Caenorhabditis elegans: one gene and its partners. The protein of the gene in region 4 purifies or fractionates together with the protein of the main gene of each other region. This does not show direct contact. Each region holds a gene or a part of one and is shown on either strand. Other genes may lie near its edges. The genes, in order: nol-14, garr-1, Y41D4B.11 and nol-16.

Region 1 (7,963 bases), 7.9 Mb from region 4:
TGCTTCTAAAATTTTTTTGAAATGCTGCAGCTTCATTGCGTCCACCGAGATTTCACCGTTGAAGAGTGATTTCCCTCGATTTTTATTAGTTTTTCGTCGATTTTTCTATTTCAAAATGATAACAATTATAAAGTAGACTGAACCGAAAGTGGAGAAACAAAAATTATCGGAAACCGTTCGGTGGAAATGCATAACGAACTGTTTGAAAATAACAACTGAATTTTCGGATTTTTTAAAATTAAATTTTTATTTGTTTTTCTCATAACCTGCAATGATAACGTTTATAGAGCAAACTTTTCTCGTCATTTTAAGATATAATTCGTCTATGTACCTGTTGAAAGAACTCAGATCGAACTCTTTTTGTGAAATCCAGTTATAATTTTTCGTTAAAAAGAGGAGCTAAAAGTTATTAATCTGAATTAAAAAGAGTCGAGACAGTGAATCTAATTAATATTTGGTATTTTATTAGAGCAATACACGTATTAAACATTTTATCATGGGTTTTTCGGCTCCAATTTTGTTGGCACAATATTTTATTTCTTGCCACATACTACTGTACGTTTGGGCTCAAATAAGCCATACAAAGTGCTGAACTATGAAGAATAATGTTTCAACATTACATTACTTACAAAAAATCAGATTGAAAGCAATGTTTTCAGTCTTTCTTGGCTTTTTTCAACATAACTTAGTATTACCATCTTATTCTGTGCCTCAACTTAATCGTTACAAGTTTGAATTCTTGAGAAAACTGTATTTAAAACCTATTAAGGCTTTTCAAAACTCAAATATATAAAAACGGTATCTTCTTAAGCTTTCGTTTTTAGTTTCCAATACTTTCCTTTCAGTAAGGCTTGAAATTTTTGGAAGCTTCACTGCTAGTTTCCCACTTCACGATTTTCCAATTTCAACTTGTTAAAACTGGCAAGATCACAGAAAAAGCCACACTTCCATGATAAAATCACAGAAAATTAAAGAAATTGGGCTGAATGTCTCAGATTTAGTGATTCTGGCACATGATCATTTCTCAAAACTTCAATTCAAAAATAAAATTGTTTGTGACCAAACCTTCATTTCTTATTTGACTTTCAGGCTATATATTTAATTATATTTCTTAATTGTCTTCAAATTTTTTTGAGATTTCCCCACTTTATGTAGTGAAAACAAAGATAAACTTCTTATTTTCTCAATTTTTCAATAAATTTAACCTTTTGCAGCAAGGTATTCTCTTTTTAACTGAGAAAACTATTTTAAAAATTCATTTCATCATCTTTCCTTTGCTTTCTCAAGAAAATTTCATAGAAGAAATGAATTTTTTCCGCAAAAATAATTCAATATTCAGAAGTGCGCCAGCACGCGAAAGGCGCATCGGTGAAACGCGCAAGCAATCTCCCTCCCCCTTCGTTTCCACCCGAGGAGACCGTGTTTCCTAAAAAAAAAATTTCAAAATCGCTGAAACTTAAATTTTTTTGGCTCTCGGCAATTTTTTTTGTTTTTTTTTAACCGTTTTGTATGTGCAAAATTGATATTTAATTTGTTAAAAATAGAAAATTCGGAAAAAAACTTGATTTTCGTTTTTCAATCGGTGGTTTTTCGGTTTTTCAGAAATCTATTAAAAAATTATTTTTCGGAAAATTGCTTTTAAAAAATTTCAAGCAGTTTTATACAAGAAAAAGTGAACATTTTATCATTGGCAATTTTGTGAAAATTTAAAATTTAATTTTAAATTTTTCAAAACTAAATTTTCAAAAAAAAATCATTTTTATTTGAACAAAATTTTTAATTTATATTATAAAATTCGATTTTGCCAGTTTTTTTTTTAAATATTGAGCGTTTTTAAGCAAATTTTTTTAAAGAGAAAACCAAAAAAAAAAACCAATTTTTTGCTCAAAAAAACAAATTTTATAAATTTACCTTCTCCTCAAAGCATAACATTTCCGTGTGTGGCTTGGAAATCGGGAATCCATTTGTCGCGAATTTCTCACTTTTCTCTGTAACTGCAAGCAGAAGAGCACTTCGAGCAAATGCGACCAGCTCGGGGACGTATCTGAAATTTATTTTATTGAAAACAATTTTCAACTTTCGGATTTTTCGTAAAAATGGAGTTCGGTTTTTTTTTTAATTTCAAAATTTTGATACGCTTCGATAATTCGGTTTTTTAAATTTTTTTAAAAGAGACGAGAGATTTTTTAAAAATAGAGAAATGACCGGAAGATTTTTGAAAAATTGCAATTTTTTCTAAAAAATTAATTTAAAAAAAAACGGGATTTTTGTATTTTTTCAATGTTTTCTGATCTAAAAATTGCCAAAACAAAATTTATATCAATTTTTGAAAAATTCGCTTTTTTTTAACATTAAAATGGAAAATTAATGCAATTATTTGTTAAAAAATGAACTTCAGAAAAAAAAATCAAGTTATATTTTAAAAAATTGCTTTTTTGAATTTTTATAGTAATCTTTTTTCGATATCGAAAAAAATAGATTTTTTTAAGCGACAATTCTGAATTTTAAATTTTTTGAGTTAGCTTTTGAAAATAATATTTTTGGTGGTTTTGGCTTTTTTTTTCGTTACTTTTCCTATTTTATATCAAAGCTTTCAGTATTTTTTTCAAAATTTGCCTATTTAAATGTTCGTTTCCAAGTATTACCTCTTGGATTCAGACACATATTCAACAATAGCATTAGCCAATTGAATTTGTTTAGCCAACGCATTCAAATTGGCACATTTCGCCGAGCAAAGTGCTTCAGTTGCCAAAAAAAGAGCCGGAACCACTACAGGATGCCAGGAATCGGCAACTGGGAAGAGGCCGGAAACAAGACGAATTGCAGAGATTAATCCAAATGACACTGGGCTACTCTTCTGTTTATCCTGGCGGCCTTTCCAGTGTTGACGGATTAGAGCACGCACACATCGGACTCCGTATTGAATGTCGAACTGCAAAAAACAATTTGAAATTTTTTTCAATTGTTGAATTTTTTGCGTTTTTTAATCTGAATTTTTAATATTATTTTCTTTATTTTCAGGATTTTCCATATTTTTTTTCTGAAATTTTAATGATTTTTTATATAATGTTTCTTTAAAAATATTTCCATGATCGTTTCCTATTTTTAATGATTTTTTTCTTAAATTTTCATGATTTTCCTGGTTTTTCTTTTTTTTTTCGAGACTGATTTTCAAAAAAAAAAGGTTTTAATTTCACATGATTTTTCTCAAAAAATCGGGGCTTTTTTGCAATTTTTGGGTCAAACATTCGGGTATTTTTTTTAATTTTTTGGCCAAAGTTTTTGGAATTTATTGCAATTTTTAGGTCAAAAAATTCGGGGATTTTAAAACATTTTTTGGTAAAAAATTCGGGACTTTTTTGCAATTTTTGGGTCTAAAAATCGAGACTTTTTTGCAATTTTTCGGTCAAAAATTCGGGGATTTTAAAACATTTTTTTGTAAAAAAACCGGCTTTTTTGCAATTTTTAGGTCAAAAATTCGGGGATTTTAAAACATTTTTTGGTAAAAAATTCGGGACTTTTTTGCAATTTTTGGGTCTAAAAATCGAGACTTTTTTGCAATTTTTAGGTCAAAAATTCGGGGATTATAAAACATTTTTTGGTAAAAATATCGGGACTTTTTTGCAATTTTTGGGTCTAAATATCGAAACTTTTTTGCAATTTTTAGGTAAAAAATTCGGGGATTTTAAAACATTTTTTGGTAAAAAATCGGGACTTTTTTGCAATTTTTGGGGTATAAAAATCGGGAATTTTTCAAAATTTTAGGTCAAAAATTCTCGAATTTTTTCAATTTTCAGATTAAAAAGTGCGGTAATTTTTCAGCTTTTCCATCCAATCGCTACCTTCATCAACGCATGCATAGTTTCCTGCGCTAAATTCATTTCCTTCACACTTTCCGCTGTCAATTCCTCCTTCGACATATCATCAAACCATCTTAAACACAAGAGGAAAAGCTTATTCAGACGCTTCTTATTTCCTTCTTTAAGGCTCGGATGATGACATTTCACGAGTCGTTCCAGCACTAAATCCATCGATTCCGAGTGTTTTTCCAGAAGAGCACAGAATTTTTTATAGTTTTTCGGCATTTCGAATACGAATGGCAGAGTTTCAGCGGGTTCTGGAGCAGATTTTTTCGCTTTTTTGACGACTTTTTGGGCTTCCTGAGCTTCCTCATCATCGGAATCTTCTTCCAGCTCATCCTCATCTTCCAGTAGATCATCCAGATCCTCTTCCTCATCTTCTAGATCCTCGTCATCGTCAGATTCATCAGAACCATCCAGATTTTTCTTTAAAATCCTGGATTTTTCCACCGTATCCTCATCGATCAGGCCACCTTCATCGTCAAATTTGACCTCAAATCTCGAATTTTTCGCCTGAACTTTTCTGGCGTCGGCCTTCGATCCAGCATCGATATCAACGTCGGCATCGGCTGATAAATGAGATTTTGCGTTGAAAAATGCATTATTTTTCGAGATACGGGCGGCCTCGAGAGTTTCCAGACGTTCTTTTTCTTTCAGAGCTTCTTCTTCTTCGGATAGCTTACGATCTGCTGGGGTGGCACGAGCGTCGGCTTCGGTTTTCAAGGTGATTGTCTGGAAAAATAATAATTTTTGGATAAAAAATGGAATAAAACCTATTTTTCTTGATTTTTTAGGCGAAGAAACAAAAAAAAAGCCTTTTTCTATCATTTTTTAAACAAAAAAATTGGCTTTTTCTTAATTTTTTTGTCGAAAAATAGTTATTTTAAATTGTTTTATTTTGTAAAAAAACGACTTTTTTAAAGTTATTTTTCGGCGAAAAATTTATTTTTTTAAATTAAAAATTGCCTTTTTCGTCATTTTTGTCAAAAGAAAAACCGACTTTTCTCGAATTTTTGTCAAAAAAATTGACTTTTTAATGATTTTTCGTCAAAAAAATTCTCAGTTCAGCTCAATTTCTTTCGCGATAAGAAGTTAAATGTTTTATTTTTCACTTCAAATTGCACAAATTCCGAAATAATTTTACAGTGTTTTCTCTGATTACAAAGCTAAAACTTGGATTTCTTCAACTTTTACAGCAAAATTAATGAAAATTTCCAATTTCCATAGCAAAAATGGTTAAAAATTAGCATTTTCAGATCAAGTTTTTTGGGTTTTAGGTTTTCCACTAAAAAATTGTGAAAAAAATCGATTTTCACTCTAAATTTATAATTATCTTTTATCTTAAAAATTTGGAGAAAACCGGGATGTTTCCCGTACCAATTTGTCGTAATCATCTTTTTCCAGCGGCTGGCGCCCGGTCGGCCTAAATGAAGCCTTCATTTTGCCCATCAAAGCCTGATACTTGGAATCCAACGACTCTGTCATCAGCTCGAGCTCATCCTTCTGCTGTTGCTTCTCGTGACGCGCCAGCTTCGTTTTCGCAATCAAATTCGAAATCATATCCTCTCGGCTGATTTTTTCGCGGACGTGCTCCTCGGCGGTCTTCTCTCCACCACCGAAATGAGCCACTTTTACCATATTTGAGCCCAAATTTCCCGGCTCTTCATCGTCATCCGAGTCGGAAATCATCGATTTGTCGTATTTTTCAATGTCCGAGAGCGCTTTTCCCTTGTGAGTAAGTACTGAAATTTACTTTATTAAAATTTTTCTCAATTTATTTCGGAATAAACCTTCTTCCTCCTCATCTCCATCATCTGTCAAGTTGAATTTCGATGCTCTTTTATAATTTTTGACTCTTTCCTCTGTGAATCTCATCGCGCCCTTCTCCTCCTCGCTTTTTCCGTCCTTTTCGCCGAGCCGTTTGTCGACAATTTTGCTAATCTTATTTTTCCGGTCATATTCTACGCCTAGCGTCTGTTCACGTTGCTCGTGAGCTCGTTTTCGTGACGCAGTCGGTGCTCCAACTTGTGCGCCCTTTTTCCGGCCGAGAATCTGCGAGAAAATCGATTTTTTCTTCAAAACTCTGAAAAACTCACGTCATGCTTGGATTTGTTGAATTTTAGCTCGAATGGATTGGTTTTTCGTTGCTTTTGCTTTTTATCAACACCCATGTTTGCTGAAAATGCGAAAAATTAGGGGGGAAACAGAGAAAAAACCAGGGGTATCCAGGAAAATTTAAGAATAAAAATTGGGAAGTTTGCGCGTCAAGTCGTGCGCATTGTACGCAACGACGCCTTTATTTTGCAAAGTTTTGAAAATTGAAATGTTTTAATTTATTTTTTTATGCACGTTTTGCTGAAAAAGTGGAAAATTTGAAGAAAATCAAGGGAAAACTAGGAAAAATCAGTAAAAATCAGTGAAAACAGAGAACATAATGAAAAAAATTTGCGCGTCGGGTCGGGTGCGCTGTACGCAAACACTTCACACTTTTGAAATTTTTTTTTTATTTTTGCGAATTTTTGCGAGTTTATTCCCCGCGGGCCTGCGAAAAATTGCGTAAAACTTTAATATTTTGACCGGAAATTTTAGATTTCAAGTTTTAAGCTAAACTATCTTTGTCCTTTCACCTAATTCTTCCCTATTTCACCCCCAAAACAGCTATTTTTCCCTATTTTCAGATGGAGCAAATCGGAGCAGCTCTCCAGCAGACTCTGGAGCCGGATGCTGCGATTCGCAAGCGTGGAGAAGAAGCGCTCCGCTCGCTGCAATCAAATCCAGGCTATATCATTCAAATTCTTCAACTGGTGGTCAACGAACAGCAACAAATTGCTCCGCAGATCCGAATCGCCGCGGCTGTCGCTTTGAAAAATTTTGTGAAGAGAAATTGGGTTGGAAAATTTGAATAAATGCGTGAATTTTATATTTAAATTGTTTCAGGGCCCGGCACCAGAGGTAGAAATGGGCCAGGAAGACGAGGAGCAGTTCAGAAGCATGCTTCTCGAAGCGATGTTCAATACAAAATCAAATGTTCAGGAAATCCTGTCCAATGCTCTGTATCTCATCGCTCAGAGAGATTTTCCCGAAAAATGGCCAGATTTGGTTCCATATTTGTCGAAATTCCTGAACGGAGCGGATCTCAATCACCTGGTGGCCTCGCTGGCGTCGATGGAGCAGATTTTCCGCAAATTCCGATTCGAATCCAAGTCAGCAGAGCTTTGGAAAGAGCTGAAGAAGTGTCTACTGAGCGTGAGTTGCGTTTTGGCTCAAAATTTGGCTAATTTCAGCTAAAATCCCCAATTTTGGCCACTTTTTTACGTCGCAGCCGTCGGAAGTTGAATTTTTGTCCGCTTTGACCCTAAAAAATGACCAAAATTAGACATTTAAGCTAGCTAAAGCTGGCCTTGTTTTCCGAAAAATCGTGAAAAATTCAACATTTTATGATTTTTTAGTCAAAAATTTTAACTAAAGCAAAAATGAGGAATTTTTGGCGAAAATTGATAATTTTCCTATAAAAATGGACAAATTTTCAAAATTTTTGAGCCAAAAAATTGAAGAAATCTGAATGTCAGTCTCGAATTTGGACCGAAAAACTGTTTTCTCCCCAGATTTTTCAGTTACAAATAAAAAGAACCGATTTTTCAGACCCAAGAGCCTCTAACTCTGTTGCTACGGAACATGATGGAGGTGGGACAGCGGAAGGATCAACTCGGAGCCGACGAGATCGCCCAATGGCTCCGAGTCTTACTTCTCATTGCAAAAGTCTACCATTCTCTGTGCTCACAGGAGATTCCGGAATACTTCGAGGATCATCTCAAGGACTGGATGCCACACTTCTTGCATCTCGTGCAAATCGACGCGCCGACGCAGACCTCCAACTCGGGAGAACCTACAACTCTGGACGAGCTTAAGCACGAGATCTGTGAGATCTTCACGCTCTACTCGCAACGCTACGAGGAGGAGATCTCCGAGTTCGTGCCCGACATCATCCTTGCCGTCTGGAATCTGCTCAAGTCTACCGGCCCCGACACTCGATACGATACGATGGTGTGCGCCGCGCTGGAATTTCTGTCGATGGTCAGCCAGCGACAGTACTACGAGGGACA
Region 2 (3,222 bases), on a different chromosome or scaffold from region 4:
CAATAACGAAGCGAGAAACTCGCTCAATTTTTCCGCATACTATGGACGCCTCGGGTCGCGGGAAATTTTCGTTTTCCGCAGACTATGGACGCACCATAATAAATTGAGCCCGTAAATCGACACAAAAGCTACAGTAGCTACTGCAGTAGTCCTTCTAAGAGTTACTGTAGTTTTGGCTACGAGATATTTTGCGCGTCAAGTATGTTGCGCAATACACTCAAAATAAGAAAACTGCGTGGCGTGTACTGCAGAAAACCTCATATTTAGGCCCCGCCTTTTGTGGCGTGGTACAGTATGTACACTGCTGAGATTAGAACAATGAAAATCGCTCAGAATTATTTTTATCTTCAGCCGTTTTGATTGAGAGCTCTATTCTGTTAAAATTTCAAATTTCAAAAGTTAACCTGTATTGCAAAATTTCAATTGCTAATTGCTACTTTACTACTTTCTAGATTTTGTTCTCAAGCTAAATATATAATTTTCCAGTGTAATCTGTCAAATTAATGGCTGGAACTTGGTTGCGGCGATTAAAAAATGTTATAAGAACGATATATCAAAGCGCGCTTAAATGCGAACTCCAAATTTTATTCGCCAAAAATGCTTGCCTCAGAGCGCTGTGTGATTAGTGAAATAAAATAACTAAATTATATGATTATTATAATGTGTATAAAATACCAACAAGTTCAACAAAAAAGTGATCAAAAAATGAGGGCAGATGAGAAAAGGAAAACAAAGAAAATCAACAATTGGTAAAAAAAAAGGATGAAAACAATTGGAACATACAGTTTTTTAGAGAAGAAACAATTATTCGAATTTAGTTCTCTTATTATTCTGTCCTCCGAAACTTCCACCATCGTATGATCGTTTGAAGTCTCCACGTCCGCGACCTCCGAAGTCTCCTCCACGGCCACCACGGAACCCTCCACGGTCTCCGCCTCGGAATCCTCCACGACCACCGCCAAAACCTCCGCGATCCCCGCCTCTGAATCCACCGCCGCCGCCTCTTCCAAAGCCTCCACGACCTCCACGGTCACTGCCACGTCCTCCACGATCCCCACCGCGTCCGCGACCACCTCTTCCACGCCCTCCGCCGGCTTGTGGAAGGAAACGATCAACTGGTAAAAGCTTTCCGGGATCAATGTACAGCTGAGACTCTGGTTCGAATGAAGAGGCTTTTACTCCTTGTGACAATGTGACGGAGAATCCCTGCAGCGAATAAATTTATGATTAATTTTCAATTAAGAGATTACTTACGTTCTCCCCGGGGGATCCAAAAATCTCGTCGATTTTTCCGACTTGTTCCTTATTCTTGAAGTAAATTGGAGCATTGAAATATGGGATTTTTCCACTCGTATTGTTGCAAACAATATCATCTTGGCACTGATGGGAGAAGACACCGACGAGCACAACTTCCTCTGGTGGTCCCTGATCGTAACCTCCACGGCCGCCCCCTCCGAATCCACCGCGTCCTCCACGGAAGCCACCACCTCTGTCACCGCCGCGACCTCCACGGAATCCACCGCCTCCACCGCCACCACGACCACCTCGAAATCCACCACCGCCTCCACGTCCACCACGGAAACTCATTTCTGAAATGTCAAACAATTTTTGAACTTTAAAGTTATTCAAGTGCAAAATAAAATCAAACTGGACATAAAAATATATTTGTTGAGAAATTCAATAGAAAAAATTGGTATTGCAAAACAAAAAGGGGTTTTCTTGTACATAATATTCACAGAAATTTCAATTTTCTAAATATGAGAAAATTAAGAAAATCACAAGAAATTGATTTTCGCCTATTTCGAAGAATTTCATCGCACTATACAAACTTTAGACTCTAAATACAACTTATAAATAACGATTATTTCGTTTTTTGCCAGTTTTTAAACAAGAAAATCAATAAAAACTATTGGAAAACGTTAAAAAATATCGAAAAAAAAATCGAAGAGAAGAGAAAAATGCAGTGAGAAGAGAGGCGTTCGTGGCGAGACCCGTGCCGTTTGAATTAGCGTGCGCCTTTAAGAGACATTTTTTGGATTTTGTTTTTTCGCCGCGAAACCGATCTTTTTCGGTGTTTATCTGCTTTTTCGACAATTTTTATTCATTTTTTCTTGATTTTTCAATACAAATAAACATTTTCCACACGTAGGTTATAAAAATATCCGAAATCTTCCTATTTCTTGGTTGAAAATGCTCATAAATCAGTAGACCAAAATTTTGCTTTTTTGATCAAATGATTTCATATGATCTTCTACTATTGGCGCTGGCGGGTATTATTTTCTAATAAATCAGTCTTGTTTTTTTTAAGTCGAAAATACGCATATTGGCGATTTTCAACGGATTTCTAGCTCTTTTTCAGCTCATTCTTAACGAGGAAATGTAGTCTGTCTTTCTGCTCCTCTCGTATCTCTCGGGTCTGAGCTCTCTGCGTGAACAAATCTGAGCTTTAGCATGAGCTAGTTAATCCCTTAATCCTTTGCGCTCATTTGGCATTCTATTCTATCACACTTCACCTGACAATGTTTAAATTATAAAATTCGCTGAAATTCTCTTCTAATTCGTTCCTCTTCATGAATTTGCAGTTTCCAGGTACATCTACTAACCCCCAATGGTTACTCCTCCTCCAGATGTGCCAAGCACATCGACCAGGTCGATGGCTCGTGACCTTCAAGAGAATCCAAACCGACAACCTGGTGAACCACGTGTGTCTGAACCGTATCACAATTCAATCGTCGAGCGGATTCGCCATATTTTTCGGACGGCTGTATCTTCCAATCGTTGTCGCACCGAGTACCAAAATATCGACCTAGATTGTGCATGTAAGGCACTTCTCTTGAGTTCAAAGCATTTCAATTTTCAAAACTTTCAGATATCACAGACCGAATCATAGCTATCGGTTATCCAGCAACAGGAATCGAAGCGAATTTCCGTAACTCAAAAGTTCAAACTCAACAATTTCTGACCAGGCGGCACGGAAAGGGCAACGTGAAGGTGTTTAACCTGCGCGGTGGATACTACTACGATGCGGATAACTTCGATGGAAATGTTATTTGCTTCGATATGACTGATCATCATCCGCCGAGTCTCGAATTAATGGCTCCGTTTTGCAGAGAGGTTATTTTTCATCACTTCTGTGGCTCTAAAATTTCCGAATGAACGTGATTGCCCTGAAATTTTAAATCATGAGGACTCTATTGAAGGAGGACTAACACAGGCCCAAAA
Region 3 (5,300 bases), on a different chromosome or scaffold from region 4:
AGCGAAAACTACAGTAATTCTTTAAATTACTACTGTAGCGCCGCTTGTGTCGATTTACGGGCACGAGTTTTTTGAAACAAATTTCTCGACGTTTTTTTTCCAATTTTTTTTTTCCATTCATAAATGGGAAAAAAACCAACACAAAATCTGGCCAGTGGTCTACAGTAGCCATTTAAAGTATTACTGTAGTTTTCGCTACAAGATATTTTGCGCGTCAAAATTGTTGTGCAATACGCAGTCTCAGAATTTTGTTGTGTTCTCGTATTTAATAATACTACAGCAATTCACGAGAAAAACACGGGGAATCTGAGTGAAATATTCCGTCAAAAAAGTGTGAAAATGAGAAAAAAAACATTTTGGCGGAAAATTCAAACTTCTTGAGAAAAAATGTTGGCGGGAAATTTGAAATTTTCAGAGAAAACCAAGAAAAAGATCTAAAATTTCAGTTTTCAGGAGTGTTTTGCATTTTTTTTTTTGAGAACTTTTCTCGGAAACCCGATGATTTTTGAATTTTTACTGAATGAAAAAAAAGAACAATGGGACACAACAATGAAGAAATAACAAAAACAGTGAAAAAAGTTAAAATTAAGAAGATGAAGAAGAAGCAGCAGCAGCAAAAGCGGCAGCAATTCTCTTCTGTTTCTTCATATCTCTGTACGCGTCGATGACCTTCTGCCGTTCCTCTTGAATTTTCGTCGAATTATTCAAATATTCCGTCTTCTGGCCGCCGCCTTTTTGGAGCATTGAATGAAGAAGAAGCGTCGTCTTTTGGCCGGCTTTTGCCATCAATGGCTCGAATTTCTTTTTAAGAGCTCCGCCGAATGTTGGTGGCGCGTCGTTTCGTTCGCCAAACTCGATTATTTCTGGAATTTTTTGATTTTTGAAATTTTACAGCACTGCAACTTTTTCCTCACGAGGGACGAGGAAAAGTGGTTTCTAGGCCATGGCCGAGGGGCCGACAAGTTTCAGCGGCCATTTATCTTGCTTTGTTTTCCGCCTGTTTTCTTTTGTTTTTCACAGCTTTTTCCCGTTTTTTCTTATTAAAACTGATAAATAAATATTTTTTGCAGATGCTAAAACAATTTCCAAGTAAAAAAAATTGTGAATTCAGTGGGCAAGCAGCGGTGAAAGTGGTCAATGTAATATGATGGATTACGGGAATACAAAACCTAAACTTTTTCTGAAACATGATACATATGATGCTTAAATGCTGAAATTACCTGATTTTCATAACGAGACCGCTGAAAAAGTTTTGAGGTTTCCACAATTCAACTTTTTTGGTGAAAAAGTCGAGATTTTCGCACAAAAAGTTGAATTTTGAAAATCTCAAAACTTTTTCAGCGGTCTCGTTATGAAAATCAGGTAATTACAGCATCTAAGCATCATATGTATCATGTTTCAGAAAAAGTTTAGGTTTTGTATTCCCGTAATCCATCATATTACATTGACCACTTTCACCGCTGCTTGCCCACTGAATACATGATTTTTTTACTTGGAAATTCTTTTAGCATCTGCAAAAAATATTTATTTATCAGTTTTAATAAGAAAAAACGGGAAAAAGCTGTGAAAAACGAAAGAAAACAGGCGGAAAACAATACAAGATAAATGGCCGCTGAAACTTGTCGGCCCCTCGGCCATGGCCTAGAAACCACTTTTCCTCGTCCCTCGTGAGGAAAAAGTTGCAGTGAAAATATAAAACTGTCGTCATTTTTTTTTACGAAAAATTAACAAAATTTGCAGTTTTGCAATTTTCTGGCTGAAATTTTCAAGTTTTCAAGCTTTTTTGAGTGCAATTATAGATTTTTTTGGACTATTTTTTTGCAAAAAATTGCACCTCTAGAATTAATCAACGCCTCGCCGGCACGTCGCTTCTGTTCATCCGATTTTCTCGCTTTCAACGTCTCCTTTCTACGGTCTTTTTTGCTGAGTTTCGTCGTCGCTTTTTCACTGCCTCCTTTTTCAGTACTTTTCTCAATTTTTGCCCGTTTTTCAGAGACTTCATCCTCATCAAAGCTCTCTTCTTCCTCTTCTTTTTCCAGTGCTTCCTTCATTTTCCTTTTTTCAGCTTTTTTCTGCTCTTTCAGCTTCTCCACCTCTTCCAGCCGTCGGGCTTCCTGTTCTCGTTTCTTTCTCGCTTCTTTGATTTTATTCTCAATTTCTCGCTTTTCCTGCTCCTTCTTCCGTTTTTCAGCGTCCTCAATAATTTTATAATCAGCATCAATTTCCTCCTGCTTTCTACCAGCCAATCCATGCTTTGCAATCGCAATTTGCTCATTAATTCTCGAGTGAAGAGTTCCTTCGATTCGTTTCACAAATCTGTTCACAGTCTCGAATTTTCCCTTTTTCATTCCGAGCTCTTCGGCTTGAGCCAACACGGCATTCTTTTGCTTTTTCTTCTTTTTCACCTCCTCTTTTGTCGTAATTCCGGAGCCCATCAGGTTTTTGGCGGCTTTTGTCAGTGGTTGCTCGTCTTTCAGGCTCACGGGAGCTTGATTCGAATTTCTGGAATTATAAAATTGAGAGAAAAAATGGGTAAAAATCTATTTTTTTGGTTTTTTAAATGTTTTTTTTGGCCATTTTTCTGAAAAAAAAATTTTTTTTTTAACTTGTATTTTTCGTCTAAAAATTCACTTTTTTTTTTGCAAAAAAGCAAACTTGAAAATTTTTGATTTTTGCTTCCAAAATTGCAAATTTTTGGTATTTTTGGGCAAAAATGGAGACAATTGTGCATTTTTTCCATTTTCCATTGAAATTTTCCACGAAAATTGAAGATTTTGAATTTTTAGGCCGAATATTCCAAACATTTAGGAAAAAAAAATTTTCAAACTTGAATTTTTCGTTTAAAACGAGGGCAGGTAGGTAGGCAGGTGAGTGCGAAAAATGTACACATTTTGCGAAAACGCCATGAAATTTTCAGATATCCAAAAATGCAAAATTTTTTATTGAAAAAAAAACTTTAAAACTTGAATTTTTCGTCTAAAAATGTATTTTTTTGCTACAAAAAAACATGAAAGTTTGTGATTTTTTGCTTCCAAAATTTCAAATTTTTGGCATTTTTCGGGCAAAAAATTTGGTAAATTCGCTTATTTTCTGATATTTTTATTTTTTATGTGATTTTTTGTCTTTTTTTTTTCTCAAATTGAATTTTGCGGCTTTATAGTTAGCCCTGAAATATCATATAAATTTATTTGAAAACGCAATATTTTTTGCATTAAAAATACGCAAAAAAATGGTAAAAATTATGGATTTTAACAATTTTTTTCCAAATTTTTCAAGTAAAAATGTTTCTAAACCCGATAGAAATCAGGGAAATAACCTATTTTAATATAATTTTGGCTTAAAATTTTGGATTTTTTTTGTTTTTGTGCAGCAAATTTGGATTAAAAATTTAACAAATTAACTTAGAAATTACGAAAAAAATTAGGTTTTTCTACAATTTTTCGTTAATTTTTTTTTTGAAATTATTAGATTTTAATGGGTTTTTTTTTAATTTTTGAAATTTTCCAATTTTGCGTCATTTTCTGCTCTGAACTCGAATTTTTGAGCTATTTTAACGTTTTTTTTCCATCAAATTTTCAGCACACACTTGTTCTTATCCTTAAATCGAGCGGCATTTGCCTTATTGTTGAACGGATCCACCGACTTCAGCTTCTTCCGATTCTTTTTCGGAATTCGACGATGTTGAGCCATCTATAGACGAAAAATTGCACAAAAACGGAAAAAAAATCAGTAAAATATATTAAAAATGGTTTCAAAACCAAATTTTTTTGACAAAAAAATGAAGACAAAAATATTTTTACACATATTTTTATTGAAAATTCGCCAATTTTTCGAAAATTTTCATTCAATCGGCGTTGCTGACATTGGAAGGTACTTTCGGCACTTTTCCGACTTGCACAGACACCTGAAATTACAAAAATATTGGTAAAATCGTGAAAAAATTCAAATTTTTCATACAATTTTCGATTTTCCCCTTCTATCGCCGAATGTCCGTAATCGTAGCACAACTCCTCGCCACGTACAATGTCGCTGAAATATTAAAAATTGATTATTTTCCATTAAAATGACTTGAAATTTGGTGAAAACTCGGAAAAATACACTGCGTAAATCGACACAAGATTAAAGGAACACGATGGGTGTCGCAGCGATTTGAGAAAATTTCGAAAAATTCGCCAAAAATTCTTGGAAAAACATGATTTTCTTTGGTTTTTTTCTGAAAATTTCGTAAAATACGTCAAAAATACATATTTTTCATTAGTTTTTTCGTTTTTTTCGAAATTTTATTCAAAAAATGACTGAAATAAGCCTAAAAATTGAAAATTGTTATGAAAAACTTCGAAAAATACGTCGAAAATGAATCATTTTTCCTTTTTTTTCGAACGTTCTTCCAAAAAATACTGAAATAGGCTTTAAAATTGAGCTATTTTGAAGAAAAAAAAATTAAAAGTGAATTTTCTTTGAAAAATTGAAATTAAAACTGAAATTTTATCCGAAAAATGATAATATATTTTTAAAAAAAAATATTTTTCGAGAAATTTCAACCAAAAAAAACCGAATAAGGTTTCCGTAAAAATTGTGTATTTTTCGAAGTTTTTTTTTTCTGAAAAATTGCAAAAAATATGTCAAAAATACATATTTTTCATTAGTTTTTTCCAAATTTTACCAAAAATTTTTTCTTTAAAATTTCGAAAATTCGTTTTTTTCCGAACGTTCTTCTAAAAAAATACTGAAAAGTGAATTTTCATGGTTTTTTTTTTGAATTTTTTTTGAAAAACTGAAATTTTATCCAAAAAATGAATGAAATGACATAGAATTTCTAAAAAAACGTATTTTTGAAGGTTTTTGAAAAACTTTTCCGGAAGATTTACAAAAAATACCTGTTTCAAACAAAAAAACCGAATAAGGAATAATACATTCCGTAAAAATTGTGTCTTTTTCGAGGTTTTTTTCCCGAAATTTTCCCTAAAAAACTCTAAAAATACGTCAACAACGGCACTGCAACTTTTTCCTCACGAGGGACGAGGAAAAGTGGTTTCTAGGCCATGGCCGAGGGGCCGACAAGTTTCAGCGGCCATTTATCTTGCTTTGTTTTCCGCCTGTTTTCTTTTGTTTTTCATCGATTTTTTTCGTTTTTTCTTAATAAAACTGATAAATAAATATTTTTTGCAGATGCTAAAACAATTTCCAAGTAAAAAAATCATGTATTCAGTGGGCAAGCAGCGGTGAAAGTGGGCAATGCAATATGATGGATTACGGGAATACAAAACCTAAACTTTTTCTGAAACATGATACATATGCTG
Region 4 (3,408 bases):
AACTTCCTCCAAAATGAGATGCCACGCCCATTTTCGAACCAATCAGCGTCTTCGAACATCTGATTGGTTCAAAAGTGGGCGAAGCGAATCGATGATTGGTCGCAGTTTTCATTTCCGAGGAAGTTCAAACAGAGAATTTAGCCAAAATTGCAAAATCAAGTTTTTAAAAGTTGGATTTTTCACTCTGTCGTCATTTTTTTTAGTTTTTCTTTTTGTTATTTCTGAATTTAATAGTAAAACAACTTTGGATTTTTTAAAGCAAAATCCCCCGTTTATCCTGGTTTTTTTTCTTTGAAATTGTGTAAGTTCGAAATTTTAGGTTGATATTCGAAAGCTTCGCCCTCAAATGGACCGGGAGAGTGACATGTATTTTGAGATTTTCGAGAGGCAACTGGAAGGAGATGGTGCTTGTCGAGGAAAGATGCGCACTGGATCTTTGAGAAAACCGAAAATTAATGCCAAATATTAATCTCTGAAGAGCTGCTTAATATATCTGAAATGTACACAATGAATGTTAATAATTTTTGATTTTATTTGTAAAGGAACAAAAGTCCCCCATAACAGTATCAACAATAACAATAAAAGCTCAAACAAAAGTATCAAAAAATTTTGAAAAACAGTCTTATGCAGTTTCGAGGAATTTACACATCTCGGACTCTTTGTGTGTACGGATCTTCTTCGCCCACTGCTTCGGTGTGTATTGCCATAAATTCTTCGGATCACGAGTCATTGCTTGAAAATCTTCGCCGTGACGAGCCAGCATGTAGACACAAAGCTCGGTTTCTCTATGGAAAAGTCGGAATTTCCGGTCTTGTCCAGCTCGAGCTTCCTCTTCTTCTTTCACTTGCTGTTCCAGATTTGAGATAATGTGTGCTGCCTGGAAATAATAACAGAATTAAAACAATTGAATTAAATATTTAGAAACCGATTCATCGGACCTGCTTTTTTCAGAAACTAAAACTTTAGCGTTATTTACTACCAACTATGATTAAATTTTACCTGTTTCTCATTCTTTTTTCTTCCAGTAACTTTCTTTTCCGGTTTGGGAACAACAATACTGACACCGTCAATTGGCTCCGCGTCGATGATCTCTTTCTGAAAATTCAAAATTATGAATCAATGAGCATGAAATTTAATTTGGACTTCCGCAAGACAAAGTGCGCAATTAAGTTCCGTCAATGCACAACGCCTTGAAAAAATCGATAACCTACTCTGTGTTCAGCGATTGGAACCGCGTCATTTGGATTAAATGCGATACCCATGTCGCGGACGTTTTCTCGAGGAGTCTTAGTTTCATCCCATGTGTATTTGATAATTGGCCTGCAAGTCACTATTTAAATGGAAAAATAGACAAAAATTAACTCACACTGCACTTTTCGATAATTTTTTCTTGTTATCCTTCTTCTTGAGATATTTTTGTCGGTTTCTGCGGTTTGTATACGCTGGCTTTCCTCTCTTCTTTACATCACGTGCCATTTTTTCTGAAAAACAATAAAATTTCGAAATAAATACAATACAATCAGAGGAAAAACAGTAAAACCGAGAAAATAGGGAAAGATTCTTCGAAAAAATTTCAGGACGAAATGGAAGAGAAACTTGATGAGTTGTCGGATTCTAGGCCACCGTCAGTTTGTTTTTTTTTTCGTCGAGAATTATTTTAACAACACAATTCTTTGTTAAATGTTATATATTTTTAATACAATTTTGTTTTCAATGAAGAAAAAATATTATTATGTTCTCATAAAAACTAATTGGTGCTTTAAAAATCGCAATATTCGTCAATAAACCCGCCGGACTAGTTTTCTCCATTTAATTGACACTTTCTCGGGTTTTCCGATTAATTCGACGTGTGATAGTCTTCTTTTTCAGTTTTCATAGGTTATTAATTAATCAATTTTACAGATAATTATGTCAACAAGGCGTAGTTCTACAAGAGCGTATGTTTGAACTATAATTGTTTTTGACAAAATGAGTTGATTTTTCAGAGACTCCACAACAAAGCGACCAGCTTCCCCAAATAGCACGCCGAATGCTGCACTCGGGATTTTCGTTGCTGTAAGTATATATTCTTCAAAATAAAATTTAAACGAGAAAGTTTAATCGTTTTAAATATAAAATTTCAATATTGCAGATCGCTCGTCAAATTCTGTTCATCGATGCTCGAAAAGTTGCCCTCTTCTATCTGGCTTTTGTGACTGTGCTCTCTTTCATCGAGTCCCGTATTGAACTAGATTCCACGTATTATTTGGTCCAAAAGCACAGTGTTCTGAATCAATATGGAGTAAAAATGGGATGGTTTTGGACACTTGTCATCGTTGGTCCATTTATTTGGTAAGTATTCTTGAATTTTAATGACACTGATGTGAGGGATAAGTTAATGTTTCTCTCTTTTCTTGCAGAAGTTAATCAGAATCTAGTATTTTGTTATAATATGCAAATATTTTTGTTTCGAAAACCATAAAGTTTGCAGGTTCTCTTCAAAAGCTCACAATCGTCGTGATCGTGATCAACCAATCGTTGATGTGTGCCGTCTTGGAGTGGGAACCGCGTGTTGGTACTTTTCTGTGCAATTGTAAGCTTTATGCAATAATTCTTACTTAAACGAAAAAGTTTTCAGTTTCCACAAAGTTCTTGCACTAACCTCAATGTGTGACAAAGGACGTACTCTGACTCGTGCTCAGTGTTCCGAAAAAGAAGGTGTCTGGACGCCAGGATATGATATTTCAGGTCACTGCTTCTTGATGATCTACAGTATTCTGATTATCACTGAGGAGGTATAAAGAAAAAAAGGTTTCAGAAAACAATATGGGAATGTTTACAGGCGATTGCTTACCGTCATTATCAACAAGTAACTGATGCAGTTCATCAAATGGACGGTGATCGTGAAGAACATGATCGTTTGACTCGATGCATTCAATATTTCTTCGTCGCAATGTTGTTCCTTCATGCATTCTGGTTCAAGCAAATTATCATCTCCGTTCTTTATTATCATATCTTCATTGAAGAGGTAATCATATTTTGCATCTCAGAATAACAATTTGTATTCTTCAAAAATTTAATTACTCAATTTCCCTATTTTTCAGATTCTCGGAGCTGTGGCCGCTGTCGTTTGCTGGTTTGTGACCTACCGCATGCTCTATCCAGCCGGATTCTTGGCCTCCCCAATTCGCCGGACTGTGGGCAGAAAATAAATATTATCAATGTGAATATTTTCAAAATTCTAGTCCTCCTTTTGTGTGTTAATTAAAATCCTGAAATTTAAACTTTTTGTAAAATCGTCTTACATCCCCTCTATTGCCTCGTTTACTGGTTTCTCCTTTAATTAAGTAACTGTTAATGTTCTGTTTTTGTTTTATTTATATAAATTCATTATCATATATTTAAGTCTTATTCATAAAATTTACACGC

Evidence for each region.
Region 1: the proteins of nol-16 (region 4) and nol-14 fractionate together in Caenorhabditis elegans (co-fractionation; one large-scale study listed by BioGRID). This does not show direct contact.
Region 2: the proteins of nol-16 (region 4) and garr-1 fractionate together in Caenorhabditis elegans (co-fractionation; one large-scale study listed by BioGRID). This does not show direct contact.
Region 3: the proteins of nol-16 (region 4) and Y41D4B.11 fractionate together in Caenorhabditis elegans (co-fractionation; one large-scale study listed by BioGRID). This does not show direct contact.

The regions. Positions count from the first base shown.
Region 1 is NC_003279.8:321,928-329,890, reverse strand, and holds the start of nol-14 (Nucleolar protein 14), read right to left. Parts: upstream 6,037-7,963; 5' UTR 6,032-6,036; coding exon 5,957-6,031; intron 5,913-5,956; coding exon 5,651-5,912; intron 5,603-5,650; coding exon 5,238-5,602; intron 4,593-5,237; coding exon 3,843-4,592; intron 2,933-3,842; coding exon 2,646-2,932; intron 2,045-2,645; coding exon 1,912-2,044; intron 1-1,911. Other genes in the region: xpo-2 (Exportin-2), read left to right, coding at 6,539-6,748, 6,798-7,106, 7,503-7,963.
Region 2 is NC_003282.8:424,535-427,756, reverse strand, and holds garr-1 (putative H/ACA ribonucleoprotein complex subunit 1-like protein), read right to left. Parts: upstream 1,590-3,222; 5' UTR 1,588-1,589; coding exon 1,255-1,587; intron 1,207-1,254; coding exon 805-1,206; 3' UTR 553-804; downstream 1-552. Other genes in the region: Phosphatidylinositol 3,4,5-trisphosphate 3-phosphatase and dual-specificity protein phosphatase daf-18, read left to right, coding at 2,609-2,819, 2,870-3,114. UniProt on the Caenorhabditis elegans protein: Required for ribosome biogenesis. Part of a complex which catalyzes pseudouridylation of rRNA. This involves the isomerization of uridine such that the ribose is subsequently attached to C5, instead of the normal N1.
Region 3 is NC_003282.8:1,604,102-1,609,401, reverse strand, and holds Y41D4B.11 (DUF1014-domain-containing protein), read right to left. Parts: upstream 3,691-5,300; coding exon 3,587-3,690; intron 2,503-3,586; coding exon 1,835-2,502; intron 864-1,834; coding exon 586-863; 3' UTR 501-585; downstream 1-500. Other genes in the region: putative histone-lysine N-methyltransferase set-23, read right to left, coding at 3,841-3,904, 3,958-4,029.
Region 4 is NC_003279.8:8,253,421-8,256,828, reverse strand, and holds nol-16 (Nucleolar protein 16), read right to left. Parts: upstream 1,482-3,408; 5' UTR 1,477-1,481; coding exon 1,367-1,476; intron 1,321-1,366; coding exon 1,212-1,320; intron 1,096-1,211; coding exon 1,000-1,095; intron 878-999; coding exon 623-877; 3' UTR 517-622; downstream 1-516. Other genes in the region: sre-23 (Serpentine Receptor, class E (Epsilon)), read left to right, coding at 320-469; fitm-2 (Acyl-coenzyme A diphosphatase FITM2), read left to right, coding at 1,909-1,937, 1,986-2,055, 2,132-2,331, 2,471-2,572, 2,618-2,774, 2,822-3,007, 3,084-3,191.